3 linked regions of the Alligator mississippiensis genome follow. The protein of the gene in region 2 interacts with the protein of the main gene of each other region in a pairwise test. Links are inferred from orthologs where the notes say so. Each region holds a gene or a part of one and is shown on either strand. Other genes may lie near its edges.

Region 1 (7,900 bases), on a different chromosome or scaffold from region 2:
CCAAGTAAGCCCTGCCCCCCCCCTTAGAGAAGTCCCCACGCCCCTGGGCTCCCCTTTTTATGTCTATCTCTTGCCCCTTCCCTCTGTAGGGGAGGTGGGGGGTCCACCTGGCTTTGAGGATCCCTTGGATCCCCCTCCATTAGCTAGCCCAGTGTCCAGCTCCTGATGCTTCCCCCTGCTCCTTCTCCCTCAGCCGAATCTATGAGATCTTGCCGCAGCGCATCCAGCAGTGGCAGCAGAGCCCATGCGTGGCTGAGGAGCACGGCAAGAAGCTGCTGGAGCGCATCCGGCGGGAGCAGCAGGGCGCCCGGCTGCGGTTGCAGGATATGGAGCGCCGCTTCCATGAGCTGGAGGCTGTCATTGCTCGGGCTAAGCAGCAGGCTATCAAGGAGGATGAGGAGGTGGGTGTATGCCTGGACACCAGGGTCCCTTGCCCAGGATAGGTGGGGGTGGGGGGGGAGTGGAGGCTGTAGGGTGAGAGCAGGAGGTCCTGGGAGCCCAAACATGTGAGTTCTCTGGGAAGGGAGGAGGAGCCTGGGACCTTTGATCAGGTGGGGCTGGGATCTCAGATGCTTGGGTTCACCTTCCATTTTTCCCTCCCTCCCCATCTCCCCCAGAGCAACGAGGGGGACAGTGAGGACACGGACCTGCAGATCTTTTGCGTCTCCTGTGGGCACCCCATCAACCCCAAGGTGGCTCTGCGTCACATGGAGCGGTGCTATGCCAAGGTACTCTGTCTTCTGCATTATACTTGGCTGGTCCGGGTGCTGCACCCCAGAGCTGGCCGCATCTCGGCCCTCCCTGTGCAGCGTTATACCTGGCCATTTCCCATCCATTCCAGCCCAGACCTGGGAGCATCTCAGCCATCCCTATGCAGTGTTCTCAGCAGTTCCACCCCACAGCTGGCCATATGTCAGCCTTTCCTATACAGCATTATACTCCTGTTGTTCCCAAGCTGTCCCACCCCAGAGTTGGCTGCATCTCAGCCCTCTGTATACAGTATTATTATTCTTAGCTGTTCTCTGGATGTTCCATCCCAGAGCTGGCTGCATCTCAGCCTTGCCAGTTCAGTGTTAAACTCTGCTGTTCCCTAGCCATCCCAGCCCAGAGCTGGGCACATCTCAGCCCTTCCCATGCAGTGTTATACGCAAGTGTTCCAGCCCAGAGCTGGGCACTTGGCCTTCCCAGTGCATTGTTATATTCAGCTATTCCCCAGCCATCCAGTCCCAGAGATGGCCAAATTTTAGCCATCCCTGTGTAGTGCTGCATTCGGCCTATCCTCAGCCATTCCACCCCAGAGTCAGTTGCATCTTAGCCCTCCCTACACGGTGTTATGCTCAGCTGTTTCCTAGCTGTCCTACACCCCAGAGCTGGTTGCATCTTGGCACTTGGCAAGGCCCCTGTAAGGTGTCCCTTCCACTGTAACCCCCACTCTTTGCTCACCCTTCTCTGCAGTATGAGAGCCAGACGTCCTTTGGATCCATGTACCCCACCCGCATCGAGGGGTGAGTTGGGACCACTGGGGTGTGTCCAGCATATTCTTTTCCCAAGGGCTATGTGAATTCTGGTTGTTTGTCTTCCCCAACTGCCCCCATCCCACCAAGCCCAAACTTTGGTTCCTACCTACATTACAGTGTTCCCCTCTCTACTGCTTCTCATTTCCTTTCAGATGCCTGGGGGTTCTCTGGGAGGGGAACAGGGGCTGGGAGGTATGAGCTGGGAGCTTGCTGGTCCCATGGAACCCCTCATCCATCTGTCCCCTCTCTCCATGTCCCTAGGGCCACCCGCCTGTTCTGTGACGTCTACAACCCCCAAAGCAAGACGTACTGCAAGCGGCTGCAGGTGTTGTGTCCCGAGCACTCCCGTGACCCCAAGGTAGAGGATGGGGAGCTGAAGGTTGAAAGTGAGGGGCACCATGGGGGGGGGGGTGGTGAGTGTGTGTGTGTGGGGGGTGCTGTGGGTTGGTAGTGAGGGCCACTGCAGAGCCTTGGAGGGGGGGTCAGGAGTGAGGTGGCCACCATGGGGCTGGGGGCAGTAGAGGCCTGTGTGGGGTGCAGCACTGGTTGAAAGGTGAGCAGTAGAGACTATAGTTGTGGTTGGGGGGGAGGGGGTGACACTGGAGGGGTTGTGGGTGGGGCCAAGGGTGTGGGTGGGGCTTAATAGATTGGGTATAGAGGAGTGGGGCTGTTGCAAACCTGTAGGCAGGGCCTGAGGTGGGCTGGGAAGGAGGGAGGGATGGGGATCATTGGTGGGGCCTGGAGGTGGTAGGTGGGGCCAGCAGTTCCCTGACCCTCTCCTTTGTCCCCCTTCCTGCTCCCCCCAGGTGCCCGCGGACGAGGTGTGCGGGTGCCCACTGGTGCGGGACGTCTTCGAGCTGACAGGCGATTTCTGCCGTGTGCCCAAGCGCAAGTGCAACCGGCACTACTGCTGGGAGAAGCTGCGGCGCGCAGAAGTTGACCTGGAGCGTGTCCGTGTGGTACGGCCCACTGGAGTGGGGGAGGGGCAGGGCTTTGGGAGTGACTGTGTGGTATGGACCACTTGCGGGGCCTGGCCTGAGATTCAGGTGGTATAGCCCAAATGGAGGGGTGGGGCCTTGGATTGGCTACTTGGTAGAGCCCACATGGGGTCGGGGAGGTCTGGGGGATAGATCTATGATACAGTCCATGGGGTGGGCCTGGGATATGGCTTTGTGGTGCAGCCCACAGGGTTAGCAGGGCTGGTGTGGGGATGTCTGTATGGTATGGCCTACATGGAGGGTGGGGCCAAGGGCACAGCTTTGGGGTATGGTTCACACCTAAGGGCAGGGGCTGAGGATGGTCATGTGGTACAGCCATATGGTACTGCCCATGGTGGGGGTGCTCAGGGTACAGCCTGCCTGGGGGGATGGGGCTTTGGTTTATGGGCCCAACAGAGGGTGTGGCCCAGATTATGGTTGCTTGGTATGGCCAGGGCCATGTGGTATGGCCCATATGAGGCATGCATGTGGTACAGCCCGCAGAGGGTCAGGTCTGGTGTAGCCACTTTGTCTTGGCTGGGGGGGCAGGGCCTGGATGTCGACTAGGTGGTACATCCCACAGTAGGGGCTAGACTATACACACTTGGTACAGCCCATGGGGCAGGAGAGCAGGATCATGGGCATTCACCCTCCCTCCTCCCCTCACAGTGGTACAAGTTGGACGAGCTGTTTGAGCAGGAGCGCAATGTGCGGGCAGCCATGACGAACCGGGCAGGGCTGCTGGCACTCATGCTGCACCAGACCATCCAGCATGACCCGCTCACCACTGACCTGCGCAGTGCTGCCCGCCGCTGACTGTGAGCTTGGGGCGGGGGCTGGGCACAGGAGGGGGGGCACTGAAAACTTGCCTTCTCTATTCCCCTCATAGCTACCCAGGGCTGCCCACTCCCACCCTCCACCAATAAGCCTCTGCCAACTCCCCACAGGCCCCTGCCCCCCCCCCCATGCACCACTGCCAACCCAGATCTGGGGCCTTTGTATGCAGTGTTATAATTAGCCATTCCACCCCAGAGCTGGCAGCATCTCGGCTCTTGCTATGCAGTATTATATTCATCCATTTCCCAGCAGTTCCTCCCCAGAGCTTGGCTACATCTTGGCCCTTGTTATGCAGCATTCTACCTGGCCATTCTTGGCTGTTTTATGCCAGAGCCAGCTGTGACTTACCTTTCCCTTTTGGTGTTACGCTCAGCTGTCCTACCCCAGAGCTGGTTGCATCTTTCCTTCCCACACGTGTTGTTACACTTGGCTGCTTAACCTCAGAGTCAGCCACGTCTCAAGCTTTGCTATACAGTGTTATACTCCACTGTTCCCAAGCTGCTCCACCCCAAAGCTGGCCGCATCTCAGTTCTTGCTATGTAGTGTTGTACTGAGCCGTTTGCAAATTGCTGCACCCCGGGGCTAGCTGCATCTAGGCCCTTGCTATGCAGCATTATGTCTAGGCATTCCTCAGATGCTGCACCCTAGAGCTTCACTGCATCCTGTCCATCTCCATGCAGTGTTATGCTCTGCCAGTCCCCAGCTGTTTTACCCCAGAGCCAGTGGTGTCTCAGCCCTCCATCTGGGGCATTAAACCCATCCATTCCCATCTGCACTCCAGAGCTGCCTGCATCTCGGTTCTCCCCATGCAGTATTATACTTGGCTGTTTCCTAGCTCTTCCACCCCAGAGCTGGCTGTATTCCAGTCCCAAGCCCCCTCTGACACCCCTCTTTCTTTCTCCCCTCAGGGTCCCTGTGAGGTGATGCCGGGTGCTCGAACAGCTCTGATCCTTTATTTTTTTAACTCAGTTTTTCTTTATACTTTTTTTTCTCTTCCTCTTTCTTACAAATTTTGAATAATAAAAAAAAGGAAGTGGTGGTGGGGTCTGAGGGGGGAGCAAGGTATTTCCCCCATCCCTACCCCTGGCCTAACTGGGGAGAGGCATGAATGACTACTGCAGCCCTATCCTTGTCTCTGCCATAGGAAGAGCCTGAGCTGGGCCCCTGTTCCCCCCTGTTATGAGGGGGCTGATTCCTAGCCCAGGGGACAGGGGCAGGTATATGCCCCCATCACCTGCACTTTGGGGGGAGTGGATCTCTGGGTCCGTGCTGTTTCTAAGTGCCCTCCTGTCCTCCTCCTGGCATTGGGGGGGGGGGAGAGGCAGGGGGTGACCCTAGTTAATAAAGTTGGCCAGTTAACGAGCTGCCTTGGGTCTGTGTGTTGGGGTCTGGGGGTAGTGACCCCCTGGGGAGAGGGGTGTGTGTAGGGGAGCACTGGAATGTATGGGGATTATACTGGGGAGTAGGGGACACTGGTGAGGGCGGGGGCAGGGGGACATGGAAAGGGAGGTTGCCCTCCCCATGCTCCCATAAAGGCACTGTGGTGCCTGCCCACTGCTACCGCCCACTAGCCCGCCTCTTTGCTGTGGGCGTGGCCTGGGTGGAAAGCCCTGCCCCTTTCCCGTCGGGGCCCGTGTGCATTCCCACCTCTCCCAAGGGTCACGTGCCCCATATCCCCGGGTCAGGTGTTCACGCTGAGCCTCTCGTTACGTCACTTGCTCGGCTCCTCCTCCGCGGGTCACGTGGCCGCACCCGCCTCTTCCCACTTGCTCCCCTTCCTCGGTCTTGCGCGGGCGCCGCTTCCGCTTCCGGCGCGAGCCTCCGCAGCCGCCTCTGCACCCTCCCTTCCCCCCGCCCCGCCCCTCCCCTCCCCGGGGAACGCTCGCGCGCGGCGGCCGTTAACTGCCCGGCTCAACCACAGTGGGCACGGCCATGGCGCGGAGGCGGCGGGGGCCGCTCGGGCCGACGGCCCCCAGAGCGGTGAGCGGGTGTGAGGGCAATGGAGGCGCAGTTGTGGCGGACGGTTGGGGTGCGCCTGGCGGCCGCGGGGAACTGTGAACCGTGAGGAGGTGGGGGGCGGGGTGGTGCGTGGGGGCCTGTGGAGAGTCGATAGAGGCTTATTGAGCGGGGGGGGGGGCTGTGAGGGGGATGGAGGAGGCGGATGTCGAGGGGGCGCTGGGAGGGGAAGCCCTTGGGTCGCTGTTTGTGGAGTGGGGTGTGATGGGCAACTGGGGGAGGCAAGAATTGCTTGGCTACCCTGGGGGCTGTGGGTGGGCAGGGGAAGAGGTGTTGTGGGTACCTGTGAGGTGTACATAGAGGGTTATTGTGAAGGAGGACAGGTTAGGGGCTGTGCAGGCAGTGGGGGGCTGGTGAGCAGTGCTGGGGGCCTGTTTGGGGGGAGGTGCGCATGTTTGGCAGCCCTGGTGGGCTGGGGGAGCAGCTCTGGGGGTGTGTTTGGCAGTTCTGGAGGAGACATGATGGGGGCAGCTGTCTGAGGGAGGAGTGAGGTAGGGGCTGTTGGGAGGGGGGCAGGTTCAGCAGATGTGGGGGGTGTGAGGGGAAACAGGACTGCTGTGTGGGGGTGCTGTAAGGAGAAGCTTGGGGAGGGGGGGGCAGTGAACATCTGGCAGCCTGGGGGAAGTTGTGAGTGAGCAGAGGCAGTTCTGTGTGTGAGGGTGTCTAAACTCTTCCCCTCCCCCAGGCCCTGACCTGCCCCCCTACACACACCTCCTAGCACTCCTGGTCCTTGGGGGCTTGGTGTATGAGGGGGGAGGGGTGGGGGCAGTTAGGAGTAGTTGGAGGGTTGTTGGGGGGGGGGCAGGTTCAGCAGCCCTGGGGGGGGGTTGAGGGGCTGCAGGTGTGTGTGTGGGGGAGGGTTGGGGACAGGTGTGTAGGGAGGGGAGCTGTAAGGAGCAGCTGTGGGGGTGGCTGTTTTGGGTAGCGGGAGCATGTTTGGCAACCTGGGAAAGGGGGGGGGCCTTGAGAAGTAGATGGGGGCTGGTTGGAGGGGAGGGGTGTGTTTGGCAGCAGAGGGGGGGCAGCGGAGGGGGAAGGGGCAGTTGTGTGTGTGTGTGTATGTGTGGGGGAGAGGTTTGGGGGCAGTTGTAAGGAGGCTGAGAGGAATGGGGGGCAGTGCCAGGGGAGAGGGCAGGTTTGACAGCCCTGGGGAGCTGAGGGGGGTGTGTGTGTGGGGGTTTAGCTGCCCTGGTGGGAGAGGTGTGGTGGTGCAGTTTTACTGGGGGGTTTGTGGGGGGTACTCTTTGTGTGTGTGTGTGAGGGAAGAGCAGGAACAGTCGCTTGAGGAGCTGTTGGAGGGCAGTTATTTGGGGCAGGAAAGGCTGAGGGGGGGGCTGTGGAGAGGAGGGCTGGGGCTGACGGGGAAGGGCTCTGTGGGGCAGGAGGACAGGTTCAGCAGCCCTTGTGAGGACGGGCAGTTGTTTGGGGGACTGTTGGAGGAGGAGCATGTGTTTGACAGCCCTTGGGGTGGGGGGTCTGATGTGGGGGGCAGCCGAGGGTGAAGGGGTTGAGGGACTTGGGGGAGGGGCTTCATATTTGGCAGCCCTGAAGGAGAGGAGGGACCTGAAGGAGGGATGTGATGTGAAGCACAATTGTGTGTGTGTGTGTGTGTGTGTGGGGGGTGGGGGCTGTGAGGAGCAGGTTGGGGGGGAGGGCTTTTAGGGGAGGGGGTGCATGTTTGGGAGGGCTGGGGGGTGTGAGGGGGAGGGGTGGTGGCAGGTGCTGTGAGGAACAGGACTGGGGGTAGTTATGGGAGAGCCTTTGGGGGGATGGAGGGGGTACATGGGGAATTGTAGGGAGAGCTATTGTGCTGGGGGAAGGGGGCAATTGGGGCTGTGAGAGGTGGGGAGTTGTGGGGGGTGGGGTGCAGACTTGTCAGGGTGGACGGAGGCTGAGATGCAGTAGGTTTCTGGCAGTTGCCTGGTGGGGATGGGTGTGTGTTTGGCATCCCAGGAGGGTTGTGGGAGCAAGGACATGTAGCCCTTGGGGTGAAGAGGGAAGGGAGTGGGTAGCCTGGAGGGTGTTTGGTACCCCTGGGAGAAAGGAGGGAACAAAGGTGGGGTGTGGGACCAAGGTTTGGGAGGTACAGAGGAGGGAGAATTGAGGCCAGACAGCTGCGGGGGTCTGCCCAAGGGCCAGGGGTGCTAGGTGGGGTATGTGTGTGGATGGGAGGGGGGTGGCAGTTCGGGGCCTGGGGGCAGGGCAGAGTTCGGGGGCAGGACACCGTGGTGGTGGTGGTGGTGGTGGTGGTGGTGGTGGTGGGGGGTTGGGCTCAGCCCTGATCTGGGCCAGGAAGTGCCTGCCACTGAGTCTGTCTAGGGCTGTCTTCTGTCCAGTGAATAAGGGCTGGGGCCTGGGGGCACTGCTGTGGGCTGGCATGGGGGTATGTATGTGGGTGGCTCCATGGGGGAGTGCTGCAGATTTCCCCCCCCCCCACAGATCCTTCCCCGTGACCCTACCCGCCTTGTTTATCTCCCTTCCCTGCTGAAGGGGTGGGGCTTGAGCCTTGGAGTCCTGGTTTTGCCTGGGTGTGGGTGGGTTGGAGGGGCAGGG
Region 2 (7,643 bases):
CACAAATCACGTTTGCACAGTGACCAGTGCTAACATTGAGGGGCACCCTGCAGCGCCCTTGAAAGGACCTCAAGATACCCCACGGTGTCACAGCACCATGGCTGAGAATCACCGCTGTAGGGGAATTGTTAGCAAACAACCTGATACTTTTGTGTTTAGAACAGAATTTCAAAAATAAGGAAAAGTAGTAAGGCTAAAAGAAGGGCCATTTTCCACTCATTCACACAGAATATAGGGGCCCAAAATGCAACCATCACTGAAAAGAATGGCAGATCAATAACAAAGTCACAAAAGAATACCCAAAGCTTCAAATCAAAAGATTTCATCAATAGTCCAAAGCATTGAAGCCTGCTCCGTGCATCGACACCAGTGATTCTCAACTGTACTCTGGGGTACCGAGAGATCCTTTTAAGGGTGCCACGCAGTATTAGCCCTGGTAGGCATGCAAACACTTACACACAACGCACACCCAGAGATTTCAAATAGGAATCCATTAGTGTCACAAATGCTCTGCCCTGCTGTGGGCTCTCTGAGTTCTCTGCACCACAAGAATTGCTCTAGCATTTTTCTGGCATCAAAAACGAGTGAGAGCAAAAAGCTGGCATTTCCCAAGGCAAGGTGGTAGAGTCTAAAAAGGTAGAGAACCACTGATCTACACCCAACAGCTTTGCCTGCCAGGCTCTGTCAGGAGTACAAAAAGAAAGACACTGCATTCACCTAGGCAAAGGTAAAGAGAAAATGCAGTCATAGAGCACTCAAAAAAATTCCCTTGGTAGCATGGCTTATTTCCTCCCACAAATGGGCATGAGCAGTATTCTTTTACAGCAATAACCCACAGCTGGACCAGAATGGTTTGCTATACAGGCCTGTTCTTTCCAGTGTAGGCTAGGCCTAGATTTTGGTGGTAAATGTTCGATTTGTTTAGTAAAAGGCTCTGTTATTCACTGAGAAAATTTAGCCTGTTATGGGAAGAGAGGTAGGTAGATTCATGGGTCTGAAGTAGCAGCTACGTAGCAGAAGGCAGGGCAGAGATGCACCTTACAGACTAACTGAATCAGAGAGGCATCAGCTTTCATGAGCAAGAGCTCATACAGCATCTGATGAAGTGAGACTGTATGCATGAAAGCTGATGTCTCTCTGATTCAGTTAATCCAGTGGGGTCAAATGAATGGCAGACCTGCCATAAGGTAAGTCATACATCCTGTCACTTGGATCCTCTTCCCTCGCTTGATCTGCTGCTCTGCTCCCAAGACATCGCAAAAATGTGTTTGAACAGATGGCCTGGGATTATATAATTGAATCAATGGCAGAAAAGCAGCAGTACATTTAGCTGCTCACTAAACCCCAGTGGAAAAGGTGATGTGTATTCGTGCCAATCCCAAGACAAACATGGGCAAAACATGTTCAGGGACAAACGCAATGCCCGTTCCTAGCCTTTATGGACCTCTCGCGCTTGTGAGCCTGCAACAGTGCCTCAGATCCTTCACACCACATTTGTGCATTGCCTTGTAATATAGAAATACAAGCCTGTTATCTCGATTCCAGCAGGTAATGAAGCTTATTGGCACCTGCATGAACCTAATCCTGTCCACATGCCCTAGCCAAGCACCTTGAACTGACATCACAGAAAAGGGGTTGCGAGAGATCCTAGGAAAGTCAGGCTGGAAGGGACCTCACAGGGCCACATCTAGTCCAGCCCCCTATTCGAGGCAGGAGCATCCCTGACTAAATAACCCCAACCAAACGTCTGTCCAACCTGCTGTTGACAACTTCCAAGGATGGAGACTCCACTACTTCTCTAGGCAGCCTGTTCCAATGCTTCACCACCTTCAGAATCAGAAAGTTCCTCATTTCTGACCTCAATTTCCCCTGCTGCAGCTTGAGGCTGTTGTTCCTAGTCCTGTTCCTTTTTTGTTAAGATCAAAAGTATCCATTAGATCAGGGGTGTCAAATATATGGCCCATGGGCTCCAGCTCATAGCTGGAGGGGCTGAGAAGCTGGGGGCAAGGCAAGCCAAGTGTGGGGTCTGCTATACCTCATCTTGGAGGTGTTCAAAATGCGACTGGACAAGCACCTTGCTGAGCTTGTCTGAGCCCAATAATTTCCTGCCCACGATGGGGGACCGGACTTGATGATCTTGCAGGTCTATTCCGGTCCTTCAATTCTATGATTCTATCACCCAGCACTGCCGACCTGCCAGTCAGATCCAGCCCAGTGCATGGGGTGTTTCAAACCCCTGCAATAGATCATCTCTTCTGAGCTTTGGCATTACATCCTGGAACTCCTGCAGAGATAGCAACACCTTTGGCGGCTTAACTTGGTCTTCCATCAAGGCTCCAGTCTTGATCAGAGCCTCCCTCCCCAGCTGTTGGTCTCAGGGGTCAAGCGCTCTCACTGTTAAACAATTTGCCTCATCTCTATCTGGAACATGCCAGCATTTAATAAACCAATGCCTGATAACATGATATTGTCCAATTCAATCCAATCTAATCTGCTAAGGATTGCCAAAGAAGCCCTAGTTATAATTAAGGATCAAGGAGATTTAGCAACAACATCCAAAAGAGAGCCAAAGTCCATCACCTGCCTGGGCTTCCCCAGACTCAGCCCTGGATGCACTGCAGCGTTACCAGGCTCACTGCTCACCTCTGGCCCTGGGGCCGCAAGCAGCTAAGTGAAGGAGCATCTTGAAGGCTGCTCTAATTTACTCCAATTCTCTCCTTGACAAAGGGGGGGGGGGGCAGACAGCTGGAGCAGGAGAGGGCACAGGGCCATAGCCTAGCGGGTTGCAGATTGGTGAGAAGCTTCCCACTCTGCCACTTTGAACTCATGATGCTGTTCCCATCATCCATCTCCCATCATCTCAGCCACCTTCCCTGCCCCCTGGTAACCCATCAGGGAACTTCACCTGTTCCTGAGCACCCATGCCCAGAGATAAGTGCTAAAAGACAGGGTAGAGTTGTACCTTGTAAGCCAAGTCAGTGGTTCTCAAACTTTTTAGATGCAAGGCACCCCTTGACAGGTTTGAAGCCCTGCTCAAAAAACACCAGCTTTGTTTTCACTAATTTTTTAACTAAGGAAAAATACTAAAGCAATTCTTCTGTTGCAAAGAACCCAGAAAGCCCACATGAGGGCAAGACGTTTTTGATGCTCTGGATTCTTATGCGAAATCTCTGGGTTTATCCTGTGAATCACATTTGTACACAACAGTGAGAACATTATGTAGCACCCCACGGCATCCTTGAAAAGATCTCAAGGCCCCCCCCAAAGTGCCATGGCACCCTGGCTGAGAATCACTAGACCAACTAAATTAGAGGCATAGTGGGTAAGGGTTGTCCCTTGCCAAGAGGCTGGGCATGTGGCTGGCACAGCAGGCAGGGATCCCCCAGCCCCCTGGGAGCTGCTTAAGGGGATGAGCTCACCATCCTGGGAGTAAGTGCAAGGACATGCTTCTCACCTGGGGCTGGAGATAATGGACAATGGAGACAGCAGGCACTGCCACTTAGCACTGCCACAGTGCTCCCATTCCCATGATGAGCCAGGCTGTGGCAGAGACCTGATGCTTCCCTGGTACAGCTGTGCCCCACTCAGCAGTGCTAATTCCCCATCCCCTACTGTGCCCTGCAGGCAGCAACCAGGCCCCAGGGGCTGCTCCAGGCGTGAGAGCGCCTCCAGGGCCCTATGGAGAGCGCCACCGTGCAGCCGTACGTCGACGTAGACAAGGGCTTCGCCATCGGCTTTGTCGTGCTCATGTGCCTCTTCTTGATGGCCATGATGGTGCGGTGCGCCAGGCTGGTGGTGGACCCCTACCGTGCCATCCCCACCTCCACCTGGGAGGAGGAGCAGATCAACTGATCGGCAGCCTACACAGGTGGGTAGTTGGCAGTCAAGCTCCGTGAAGTGAGCTCTTCAGGCTCCTGCCATCCTGGTCATCCCTGTTGCTACAGCAGAGCGATGATCCCCTGCTTTCAACTCTGCCTGCAGTTGTGCTGGCTTTGAGGACGAAGCCTGCAGGGGAGGATGTCATGATGCCAGCTTTGTGCCATCTTGGGGAGGTGAGCATCCCCTGCCACAGCAGCCTGATGAGGTGGGAGAAGCTGGGGTCCGGGCAGGGTGCAGGGACCTGGTGCCTTCCACCCTGTACTACTGCACCCATTGCAATGGGCAGCTCTGCAGGAGGTGACCGGCATCCTCCACATGAGGGTCTCTTCTTTCTCCGCACACAGGGCTCAGGTACTGCCCCATGCCCATGATGCAGGGGCTACAGAGGCTTGCAACCCAGGGCATCTGGGCTGTGGAGTCCAGACCACTCAAGCCCATGGAAGAGACCCTGCAGTACCAGCAGCAGTAGGTTGTTACTCCAGAGCGGACCAGGCTCTACAGCAAGGGCAGGACGCAGCCCCTCCGGGAACCTACCCTGGGGTCTGGCATTCAGTCCTCTCCCGTGAATGGTCCCCAGGGACTTCAGGGGAGGTGCCCGAGCTGGCCAGCCAGGAACTAGTCCTGGAGTCCATTCCTGGCTCTGCCACTGACTCACTCTATCACCTTGAGCCCCAAAGCCTCCACCCCTACACTGCCCCTTTAAGAAACCTCCTCTCTCCGATCAGACCGACCGACACCAAACATAGCTGCTACACCTTTAACTAGCTGGCCTAAGCGCATGCGCGCTGGCGCCGCGGAGGTATTTCCGCCCGAGAGTGCCTGTGTAGTGCTGTCCCCTGCTTTCGCGGCCGCCTCTCGAGGGGAGGTTTGGTCCGCTCGGGCCACCGTCGCCGGAAGTGGTGTCGGGGCCCCTCAGTGCAGCGCCCTGGAAAGGAGCCCGGCCCTCGCCAGCCGCGTTGCAGGGAGCGGTGAGCGCGGCCGGGGGCTGCGGCGGGGCTGGCGGAGGCCGGGGGTATCCGCTGCAGTGGGCTACGGACGGGGCCGGGGACTGTAGGGCACCCGGAGGAACTAGGAGGCGGGGCTTGGGGCGGGACCTAAGGGGTGGGGCGGGGCTTGGGGCCAGGGGCCTGTAGGGGCAGTTAGCGGAAACGGGGCTGCGGGCGGGGCCTTTAGCCAGGGGCCTGTATAGGACAGTCAGGGACAATAGGGGGTGGGGCCTAGTGTCAGGGGGCGGGGCTTGGAGCCAGGGGCTGAAGGGGGCAATAGGAGCCTGGGAGTAGGGGGCAGGGGGCTTGGCCAGGAGGCTGCTGAGGGTGGAGAGGGCACAACGGAGGAGGCAGAGGAGAGGGAGGGGAGACGCTGCCCAAGCTGGGACTGACTTCTGCCGTGCCCCCAGCTCTCTCGTCTGTCTGCCCACCCACTGTGGTAGGCGTCTCCCTGGCCGCTGCGCTGGCGCTACCAGGTGCTGCCCGCACGGAAACGCAGTGTTTCTCCATAGGACTCCAACCCGCTCCAGGGGCGCCAGGTGCTGCTGTCTGAGCTGTCACCTGTGTGATGTGCTCAGGCACCGTTTCCAAAGCAGCCTCCATAACTCCTGAGCTGGAGAGAAGCTTTGTGCTGTGTAATGGCATTAGATACGTTTTGATTTCTTGGCCACAGATCATGCAGATCTCAGATCAAACTATTCAGTCACATGAGACATTGCAAGCCATCTGCATCATAGGCTGCAGCATCCACTGTCTCTCGTAGATGAAAGGATGCCGTAAACATAAAGCAGACTTCATGGCTTGTTCCATCAAGTTGCTTTGAGCAGCAGTTTGCTTTCACGCAGCAGCAAGCATTGCCAGGGCAGGCAGTTTTCACCTAAATAAGGTGTCCAGGTAACCAGGCTCATAGCTTTAAGTGAAGCACTTATCTCTTCCCCATGAGTGAGTTGAGGAGGCTGTGTGGTGTACTCAATACAAGAGAGAGAAAAAAATACTAAAGCTGCAGATCAGGGAATGTACAACGTGGTTTGGAAAGCTCACGAGCCTCTTATCTCCTCCTGGCTTCACTCTCAGCAGAAATGGATTCCCAGGAGATTGGAGAGCTGCAGCAGGAAGTGATGGAGGAGCTGGGCATCTCCATGGAAGATCTCCAGCAGTTCATTGACGAGGAGCTGGAGAAACTCGAGTGCGTGAAGCAACGAAAGAAGCAGCTGGAAGAGCTGGAAAAGAACGTTAAGCAGAAAGAGGCAGAAGTAGCTCACGTGGACCAGCTCTTTGATGACGCCTCAAGGTGGGCAGTGGCGGCTTTGTGCTGGTGTCTGGCGGAATGGGCAGAGCAAGGACTAGGGTGTCTGGACTCAAAGGGCGTTTATACACATGCTCAGGGGAAGCGCTTTAAGTGGAGCGGCTACAAGCGTCGCTTTAATTAAAGTGCCCAGAGCATCTTGCACATCAGTGTCCCTGTGCTTAAAAATGGTGGCAGGGCACTTTATCTAAAGCTTGTCGAATGAGCCCCTGCCACCATTTTTAAGTGGGGGGACACGGATACATGAGATGCTGGAGGCTGCTGGAGTGCAGTAATTACCATGCTCCAGCAGACTCAATCCAGTCTACTCTGATGAGCTATAATTACAGCATGTCAGAGCAGCCTCACTGCTCGTATGTAGGCACCCCCAGTTCCTATTTCCTGCTCTACCGCTGACTTTTTTGGCAGTATTCCTGCAGCCAGACTTTTCCAGGAGGGGTTCAAGAACCATGTGGTGCGGTATTCAGTTGTCGACATGCGTAACTCTCAGAGATGGATGGCTAAGATCTTTTTGCCGTGGCTTTGAATCTCCAGTTATGATTGAGGCTATGTCCTATTTCTGCTGAGTGATTTAAGGGAGCACCAGCTGCTGAGTAGCCCCAGATGCTGCTATGCAAAAATGTCTCTTCTTTTTGTGATTACTGTAGAGATAACAGCTGCACTCACCATGGATCTGTCTCTGCTTCCTCCTTTTTTCCCGCTGTACCGCAGAGCCATCAATAAATGTGAGGTGCTGGTAAAAGATCTCTACTCCAAGCTAGGGCTTCAGTATCGTGAGAGCAGCTCTGAAGATGAGGACTCGGCTTCCAAGCCCACGGAAGTGATTGAAATTCCAGACGAGGATGATGATGATGTCATGAGCGTGGATTCAGGTTGGAAATGCAGTTCTGTGTTCCCTATGGCGGTGGGGTTTGTGGGGAGGGAGATGTGAAGGAACAGTCTGCTATACACTGGCACCACTGTTCCTCACACCCGGGAGGCTCAGAAGGAAGGCTCCCTTGGGGCAAGTAAATAGGGTGGTGCTTGCAAAGTCAGTGCAGCCTGAACAGAATGGAAAGCTCTTACATGAATCCCTCTTACCCAGCCTCCTGCTGCTCCTGGTCTTGCTAAGCTGCCTCCAGGATCCAGTGGCCAGGGGGATGTTGAGTCATCCCAAAGGTGTGGCCTGTTGTTGGGGAGCGGAGAGGGCAAAATGGGATAAAGCCTTACATCGCCAAAAAAACTTTAAAAATCGAGGAAGAATCTGGACTATGACCTGCTATCCTGAGGGCTCAAATTCTCTTTGAAGTCAGTAAGGAGTGCAAGCATTTGGCTTCGCCTTTGTGTTAAAGCTTCTGTTTATAAGGGCTTCCTATGGCAAGGAGGTAGCTGAGTAGCCATCACCTCTGCTCAATAAACTAGAACTCCTTGGAATGCCAGGTTTTAACCCTGGAAGGATTCACTCAGCCTCCAGTCCTTCTGCATGTTAAGTG
Region 3 (7,823 bases), on a different chromosome or scaffold from region 2:
ATGCCAATGTTAGCCTGGCAATGTCTGGACTCATGCTAAAGGCAGTTTCATAGTTTCATAGTTATTAGGGTTGGAAGAGACCTATTAGGTCCCTTCGAGTCCAACCTCCTGCTCTGGGCAGAACAGAGCACTGGGGTCAGATGACCCCAGCCAGGTGTCTGTCCAATCTCCTTTTGGATATTTCCAAGGAAGGGGACAACACCACCTCCCTTTGTTGACCTAGCTGTAAATGGGTGCCTAGACATTCTAGCTGTGAAGTTAAAAGTAGACAGATATAATGCTACTCATATCGCTCCTTTGCATGCCTTTGCCTTCAGAAGCAGGTGTGCCTTGATCACACTAACTTGATTGGCCCTTAGATTCAAGCAAACTTTTAACTTGGTATGGATGTATTAACATTGATATTTAAACTTCTATTTTTCTTTCAGTTTCTGATTTGCAGTAGCAAAAGTACCTCCTAAAATATAAAATGACAGATAGGATGTCTAACTGTATAGGCAAAAAAAAAAAATATTTAAGCAGTTATAACTTTAGTATTTTAAAGTGTTTTTTTCAAACTTACCCAATTTCTCATTGAGTAGTAGTACTTACATACAAAATTGGAACTTCAGTCATGTTCCAGTTATTCATGTACAGTTAAATGTTTTATTACTTGTAAAGTTGGGAAAAATGTTCTGTTCCTCACTGATCATGTATCTGAAAACTGAATAGTTGGATTCTAGTCAAACATTCAGAGAAATTGGCTTTGAGCTCAGACTAATGGAAAATTTGAGCCCATTGGAGAATATTTGAGAAAGATATAAGCACTCAGAACAGGAATTTATGATGGGCCGACTTGCAACCATAGCTGCAAACATTTATGCCCATATTTAAATTTCAGCATGTGAGCAGTGCTGTTATAAGAAAACACATGTGTGTTTTCCCCCTATCCTACAATAAGCTGCCTGTGGACAGATCCTGCACTTTTTGTGAAGCTTTGCTGTAATCAGCAGAGTTCCATGCAGATTGTCTTTCTGTGACGAGTCTAATGCAGGCTTAAATGTTAGGTCTTAATATATTTTTTTCCTTATGCAGACCTGGTCTATACAGGGAAGCATTTGTAAATGTGTATATTAAGTATGTCCTGGGTATGACCATAAGCTGCATCCAACTGGAAGTCTGGTGGCAATGTGGTGGGGCTACTCGTGTGGGGGTAGCTCCTATAAAATACCACAACGCTGCAACCTCCAGAGTAAGGCAAGTATAGGGCACCTCAAAACCCTAGCCCCCACTGCCTTGTGGGCACTCCTTGGTTGGAGAAAGGCTAAGGGACATCACCCTGACAGAAGTGCGCCCTCTATGAAGTGTTAGGCAGTCAGCAGCAGTTCTTATCTGTTGCTCTCTGGCAGAAGCTAGTCATCAAGGCACTAAATGTCTGGACTCAGTTTGGCCTTTGGACGCTGTCTTAGTGGTCTAAAGAGGGGATGGCAGGCCTAGGGCAGCCTCCACTCCTCCATACTCTTGCCAAGACATGTACGTCGAAAGTGATGGTCGCAGGACTCCATACAAATGGATTCATCAGGCACCTGACTAGACCTCTTATGCGTACACTATGATCTAGAGGATCCACAGTTCCCTACTATTAATAGTTTTAAAATTCAACTGCCTTGCCTACAGTAAAGGTAAAACCAAATTTAACATGATGCTACTTAAATGTATTTTCTAACCTAATGCAATTTCCCATATATAGACAAAGGATGAGGTGCAAGAATGAACATAGGCACTACAATGTGATCAAGTGCCTAACTTGTATGGGCTGTGTCATCTAGTAGAATCCACTGTCCTCACTTGATTGCCTACGTTCCTTAGATGCATCAGAATGAGATCCACAAAGCCTGCCTGCCAAGCAGAGATCTCTGTAGCCTACAGCATGGAGGGAAAGATCTTTACCATCCAGGCTGTGTATAAAGAAGCAGATCATGTCATCTTCACATAGAGCAAGATGGTAGGAAAAGTAAAGGTGACAGATGGACGGGGAGCAAGTGCTCCCCTTTTTAGGTACTTAGTTAACTCCAGGATTGTGGGGGAGTTCTTTCCACTTGGGATTCACGATTATGAATCGTCTTCTAAAGTAATGCACATAAACCAGCTCCTTTTCACAAAACATATCTGGAAGAGGAAGTGGTGTCATTTCTCCTTTTACAACAATACTCAATAGCTCATCAAGGGTATGGGAGACAAATCCTTCCTCTGCCTGACAGGTCTTGAACCTAAATATCCTACAAGAGTGCCCTTGACATTCAGTGATGGTCTCCCCTGTTGAAGCTACTTATTTTGCATGGGATGCTTAAAAATTCAGTGGAACAGGGATTATACCCAAGCTCCTTCTCATCCCCAGTGAGCACTCTAACCACTGCAACAGAGAATATTTCTCTCACGCTGTCATCTGGATGAATTAATACTTAATTATTGCATGTAGTATGGAACAGCTTCAACAGGAAGGATTGGGCTTTCCCTCATCCCATTCCAGAATATTTTCTAGCCTGGTGGCTAGGATTCTCTCCTGGGAAGTGAAAGATATGGCTTCAAATCCTCTCTAGTACAGGAGATTTTTAAATTTGTTTCCCACATCTCACTGGATTACTGGGTAAAAGGGAGGAACTTCTTCCTCTGTCTGTTTTGTGCAGAGGCCAGTTTGATAGGGTTGATCTAACTACTAGATCAAGTTCCATAGGCAGGGCAATGTATAGATTGTGAAATCTGAGGGTCCTAGCTGGTTGGCACCGTAGGTACTTAAGAAACTTTACTGGCAAAGTATTAGGCTCCTAGGGGCTGCAGGTGCCGCTAGGGTTACATGGTAGCTGAATGAGAATTTTGAGGATCTAACCATTTTTCCTTTGACACCAGAAGTGACACTTAGGCACCAGAGAGTCCTTGTGTAAATGTAGACCAAAGTCATTGTGGGCATATAGTTGGGCGCACTCATCTTCAGCTTTCTGTTTGTATAAGAACACGGAGAGCTTTCCTCCTCTGTAGGTTGCCAGCTGTATCCACCAAGCAAAATACAAAAATGATTTCCCTTCATAGTTTAGACATCTCTTTAATTGCATCACCAGTAAGATGCAAACTTATTGCTCTGCTGCGTTTTTACAGGTATACCTGCTGTTTCAAGAAGAATTGATACATACTGCATTTTAATACAATGGACTTAAGCCACTTGAAAATAGCCGCATGTCCATGTTGGGTTTTTTTGTTGTTTTAAAGAACGCCTACCGTGAAAAGCAGCTTTGAGCATCTAGAGCAACTGAGGTTCTTCAGGTAGATGTGATATCTTTTATTAGATCAACTTTTATTAGTCCCTTCCAGCCCTAATGTCTATGAAACTTGTCTACAATAAAGGTAAAACCTATGAAACTGAATAGCATTTGATCATGTCATCCTTCACATCAAACCCTATCCACTCTGCAGCCCACAGCACGGCAGGAAGGATCTTTACGGTCCGGGCTGTGTCTAAAGCAGCAAATCATCAAATTGTACCAGCTCTGTAGCCTAGGCACTGATCTTTACCATCCAGGCTCTGAACAACGAGTTGATCTTGTACTAACAGTATGCTGGTATGGAGGAACAACTGAATTGCAAACCCTCCGGGGGGGGGGGGTGTTTTGTAATTCTCTTAGAGTTGGTTTCTCCACCTGCTTATGCTTCGTTCACGTCAGGTGCGTGGAAGTGGGTGAGGGTCCTGGGCTGGACTTCAGAAGCTCTGCCCCTAGCCCCTGCCTCCCAGCCAGCCTCCTGGAAGCAGGAATCACTCTAGAAACATCTCCCCTCGCTGCAGCGCCCGGCTCTCCCCGAGCCAATGAAGGCTGGACTCCCCCCTCCCCCAGCCCGCCCTGGGGACAGCGCAGCGAGCAGCCACATGGCAACTGCAGGCGGCTGCACAAAAGAGGCACGCGCGGGTGGAAAAATACAGCCCTGGCTCCCGGCTCAAGTTTCTTCTCCCTGACCGGGGGGAGGCAAAAAATAGCTTGAAAAAAACAGGCAGCAGAGAACCCGCATCTGCAACCGGAGACAGAGGGGCACACGAGTCGGAGTCATGCTGCAGGCAGAGGGGGGAGGGGAAGAAGCACCACCCCCACTGCAGGGGCGCGCCGAGCTGCTGGGCCACTCCGCTAATGGCCGCCGCGAAGCCCCGCCCCTCACCCGGATTGGTTGGCGCGACTTCGTCAACGCTCGGCCTTTTCCGCCGCCCGCCGTCTCCAGACGGGCTTTATGTCTGCGGGCCCCGCGCGCCTGCGCGGCCGCCATCTTAGATCAGCGCCTCCTCCTCCTCCCCCCTCCCAGCCGGCCCAGCGCCGTCCTCCAGCGCCGCGCGCGGAGCTGGGGGGACGCGCCGTGACAGGGAGCGAGCCGCCGGGCAGCGCGGCAGGCTGGAGCAGCCCGCTCGGGGCGTCTGCGCAGGCAGCGGCGCGGAGAAGGGGCTGCGCGGCGCGGCGGGGCGGTGCCGCCCCCCCCTTCGGTCTCTTTAAAGGCAACATGACTCGGCTCCATGGCTGCCACTGACGGCGATGCCCCTGCCCGGCCCCGGCCGCCCGCGCCACAGCCAGGCCCGTACGTATCCGCCCCGCCCCGCCCCGCCCGGCCGCGGCCTCGCTGCTCGCCCCGGGGGCGGCTCGGCCCGGCCTGCGCGCGCGCGCGTGTGGGGGGGGGGGTGGGTTGGGGGGGGAGGGGTGTGTGTGCGCGCGCGGTGCGCCCCGTGCCAAGCTAACTGCGTGCCTGTCTGTCTCTCCGTCTCCGTGTCTCTGCCGGGGAACCGCGCTCCTAAAATAACCCCGCTACAATGCGCCAGCCTGACTCAGCCGCAGACAGCAGCAGCAGCAGCAGCAGCGCGAGGAGGAAGATGGCGCACCCGGCGATGTTCCCTCGAAGGGGCAGCAGCAGCAGCAGCACCACTGGTAGTGGCAGCGTCCCCCCTCCCAGCGCCGGTGCCGGCGGTGTTGCCCTCTCCGCGGAGGAGTATCAGCCACCTCTGCTGGGCCAGCCGCTGCTGCCTGCGTCTCCCGCAGCAGCGTCTGCCTCGCCGGGTCCCCAGCCGGCACCTCCTCCTCCACAGAGCCTGAACCTCCTCCCGCAGGCACCGCTCCCGCAGCAGCCTCTGGGCCAGGCCGGAGCACAAATGAAGAAGAAAAGCGGCTTCCAGATCACTAGCGTGACCCCGGCCCAGATCTCGGCCAGCATCAGCTCCAACAACAGCATAGCCGAGGACACGGAAAGCTACGACGATCTGGATGAGTCCCACACGGAAGACCTGTCATCTTCCGAAATCCTGGATGTTTCGCTCTCCAGGGCCACTGACTTGGGGGAACCCGAACGGAGCTCCTCTGAAGAGACTTTAAACAACTTCCAAGAGGCTGAGACTCCAGGGGCTGTCTCTCCAAACCAGCCTCACCTTTCTCAGCAGCACCCTCCTTTGCCTCACCCTGCCCAGCAGAGCGTTGTGATCAATGGGAGTGTTCACCCGCATCACGTTCACCACCACCATCCCCTCCATCACCATGGCCATCACCATCCATCTGCTCCTGGAGTGGGCAGCACACCAGCCTCTGGAGGACCACCTCCCAGTCCATCCTTTAGAAAACTGTCCACAACTGGAAGCTCTGACAATGTTATAACAACTGCACCAGTTTCTGCTGCATCATCCACTGGTAGCCCGGCATCTGTCATGTCCAGTATCCGCACTACAAGTACTCCTGGCAATATAGGTGTGAGTCCTGTTACTGGAACTAGTACGTTAAGTAATATGGGTGGTGGTAGCTCTGGTGTGACGAGCGGCATGGCTGGTACTGTAAATTTAAACAACATTACAAGTACTGGTAACGTAAATGCTTTGTCTGGAACTGGCAGCAGTGTTAATGTGAATATCTTGAGTGGTATTGGCAATGGTACGAGTGCTTCCTCTAATGTCATTAACAATGTTACTAATCCAACAGCAGGACTGGGATCAAGTCAGCAGCAGCCTGCAGCTGGCACGTCAAGGTTTAGAGTTGTAAAATTAGATTCCAGCTCCGAACCTTTTAAAAAGGGGAGATGGACATGCACTGAATTCTATGATAAAGACAACACTGTTGCAGTTACAGAAGGAGTAGCAGTAAACAAAGCGGTAGAGACTATAAAACAAAACCCACTTGAAGTGACTTCTGAAAGGGAGAGCACCAGTGGGAGTTCTGTTAGCAGCAGTGTAAGCACACTGAGTCACTACACAGAAAGTGTGGGAAGTGGAGAAATGGGAGCACCTACTGTGGTTCAACAGCAAGCATTTCAAGGTGTGGGTCCACAGCAGATGGATTTTAGCAGTGCTGGTCCTCAGCCTATTCCAGCATCCAGTATACCACAGAGTGTTTCTCAGTCACAGCTTGCTCAAGTCCAGCTGCATGCCCAAGAAGTAAACTATTCGCAGCAAAAGCAAGGGGTCCAGCCTCCTGTGTCGGCCAGCCTAACCACCGTTACTGGAGTTCAATCAACCCCAGTTAATATAGTAGGTGTATCTTCAGCTTTAGGCCACCAACAACCTGCCATGCAGAGTATGGCTCAACAACAACTACCATATTCTCAGCCAGCACAACCTGTGCAAACTTTGCCAGTTGTACAACAGCAGCAATTACAGTATGGACAACAACAGCAGCAACAACAAGCAGTTCCTACACAGATGGCCCCAGGGCTTGTTAAACAAGTGAGTCAAAACTCTGTTACAGGGACTATGCCAGACTACATGCAACACCAACAGATACTTCAGACTTCAGCACCTGCCATGCAGTCTGGTACTACAGCAGTAGGAACAGGCACGCCAGTTCCTGTTGCTCAGGCACCAAGCATGCAGCCTTCAGTACAAGCACACCCTGCCGTGACACCAGCCCAGCCTGTTGCACATGCTCAAACAGCAATGCCAGCGGTAGGTACTAGTGGTCAGATTATGAATGTTGGACAACAAGTAAGTGTACCTACAGTTGTGCAGCAGGCACCTGGTGCAAACCAAATTCCTCCTTCAGTTATGCAACCAAGCACTGCTCCTCCAGCTTCACAAGTGGTGCAGCCTGTTCAGACTGGGATAATGCAGCAAGGACTACAGTCTGGTGGCCCAAGCCTTCCTCAGCAAATGATCATTGCTCAGCAAAGTACTTTGTTACCTGTACAACCACAGGCACAGGCCGTAGAATCTGTAGCGCAAGGAATGACCAGCCAGCAGTTGCCTGCAGTTAGTCCTATACCTTCTGCTAGTACTGTTCCTGCTCCAAGCCAACCTAGTTCAAATATCCCTCCTGGTATACCTTCTGCTTCTATAAGTATGGGTCCACCACACAATATAGCACAAGCTTCAACTGTACAAAATGGGAATTTGGTTCAAAGTGTTGCTCAGCCTTCCGTGATATCAACAAGTATAGGTATGCCAGTAGCACCAAGTGTGCCGCAACAGGTACCACTAAGCTCCACCCAGTTCCCTGCACAGTCACTAACTCAGTCAATTGTAAGCCAAATTGAAGATGGCAGGCGCCCTACAGAGCCTTCCTTAGTTGGTTTACCTCAAGCTGCTAGTGGTGAAAGTGGTGTTGGAGCATCAGGTCTTTCAGATGGGAGTGGCAGCAGCATAACGTCCTCTGCTTCCCTTTTTCCTCTGAAGGTACTGCCGCTGACAACACACCTTGTTGATGGTGAGGATGAGAGGTAAGAACATGTCAACTTTACAAATGGGCTATATATCCCTTTTGTATATGTTAACTAGCAGTTGCCATGCAACTATGTCACAAAATGAAGTACAATATTGTATGCACAGTTTTAATACTTTTATTTTA

What was found. The genes of interacting proteins can lie anywhere in the genome.
Region 1: the proteins of SETDB1 (region 2) and MBD1 interact in binary tests that used the Homo sapiens proteins (3 or more experiments, as listed by UniProt). The link is inferred for Alligator mississippiensis from reciprocal best matches to the Homo sapiens genes SETDB1 and MBD1.
Region 3: the proteins of SETDB1 (region 2) and TSC22D1 interact in a two-hybrid assay, tested with the Homo sapiens proteins (2 studies listed by BioGRID and IntAct). The link is inferred for Alligator mississippiensis from reciprocal best matches to the Homo sapiens genes SETDB1 and TSC22D1.

Annotation. Positions count from the first base shown.
Region 1 is NC_081831.1:27,516,348-27,524,247, reverse strand, and holds the start of MBD1 (methyl-CpG-binding domain protein 1), read left to right. Parts: upstream 1-4,893; 5' UTR 4,894-5,263; coding exon 5,264-5,311; intron 5,312-7,900. Other genes in the region: CXXC1 (CXXC-type zinc finger protein 1), read left to right, coding at 1-4, 194-401, 618-728, 1,456-1,505, 1,779-1,875, 2,324-2,476, 3,164-3,310. UniProt on the Homo sapiens protein: Transcriptional repressor that binds CpG islands in promoters where the DNA is methylated at position 5 of cytosine within CpG dinucleotides. Binding is abolished by the presence of 7-mG that is produced by DNA damage by methylmethanesulfonate (MMS).
Region 2 is NC_081838.1:19,311,715-19,319,357, forward strand, and holds the start of SETDB1 (histone-lysine N-methyltransferase SETDB1), read left to right. Parts: upstream 1-4,642; 5' UTR 4,643-4,657; coding exon 4,658-4,847; intron 4,848-5,196; exon of another isoform or gene 5,197-5,341; intron 5,342-5,939; coding exon 5,940-6,156; intron 6,157-6,882; coding exon 6,883-7,043; intron 7,044-7,643. Other genes in the region: CTXND2 (cortexin domain containing 2), read left to right, coding at 3,679-3,852. UniProt on the Homo sapiens protein: Histone methyltransferase that specifically trimethylates 'Lys-9' of histone H3. H3 'Lys-9' trimethylation represents a specific tag for epigenetic transcriptional repression by recruiting HP1 (CBX1, CBX3 and/or CBX5) proteins to methylated histones.
Region 3 is NC_081824.1:410,614,821-410,622,643, reverse strand, and holds the start of TSC22D1 (TSC22 domain family protein 1), read left to right. Parts: upstream 1-4,816; coding exon 4,817-7,695; intron 7,696-7,823. UniProt on the Homo sapiens protein: Transcriptional repressor. Acts on the C-type natriuretic peptide (CNP) promoter. Acts to promote CASP3-mediated apoptosis.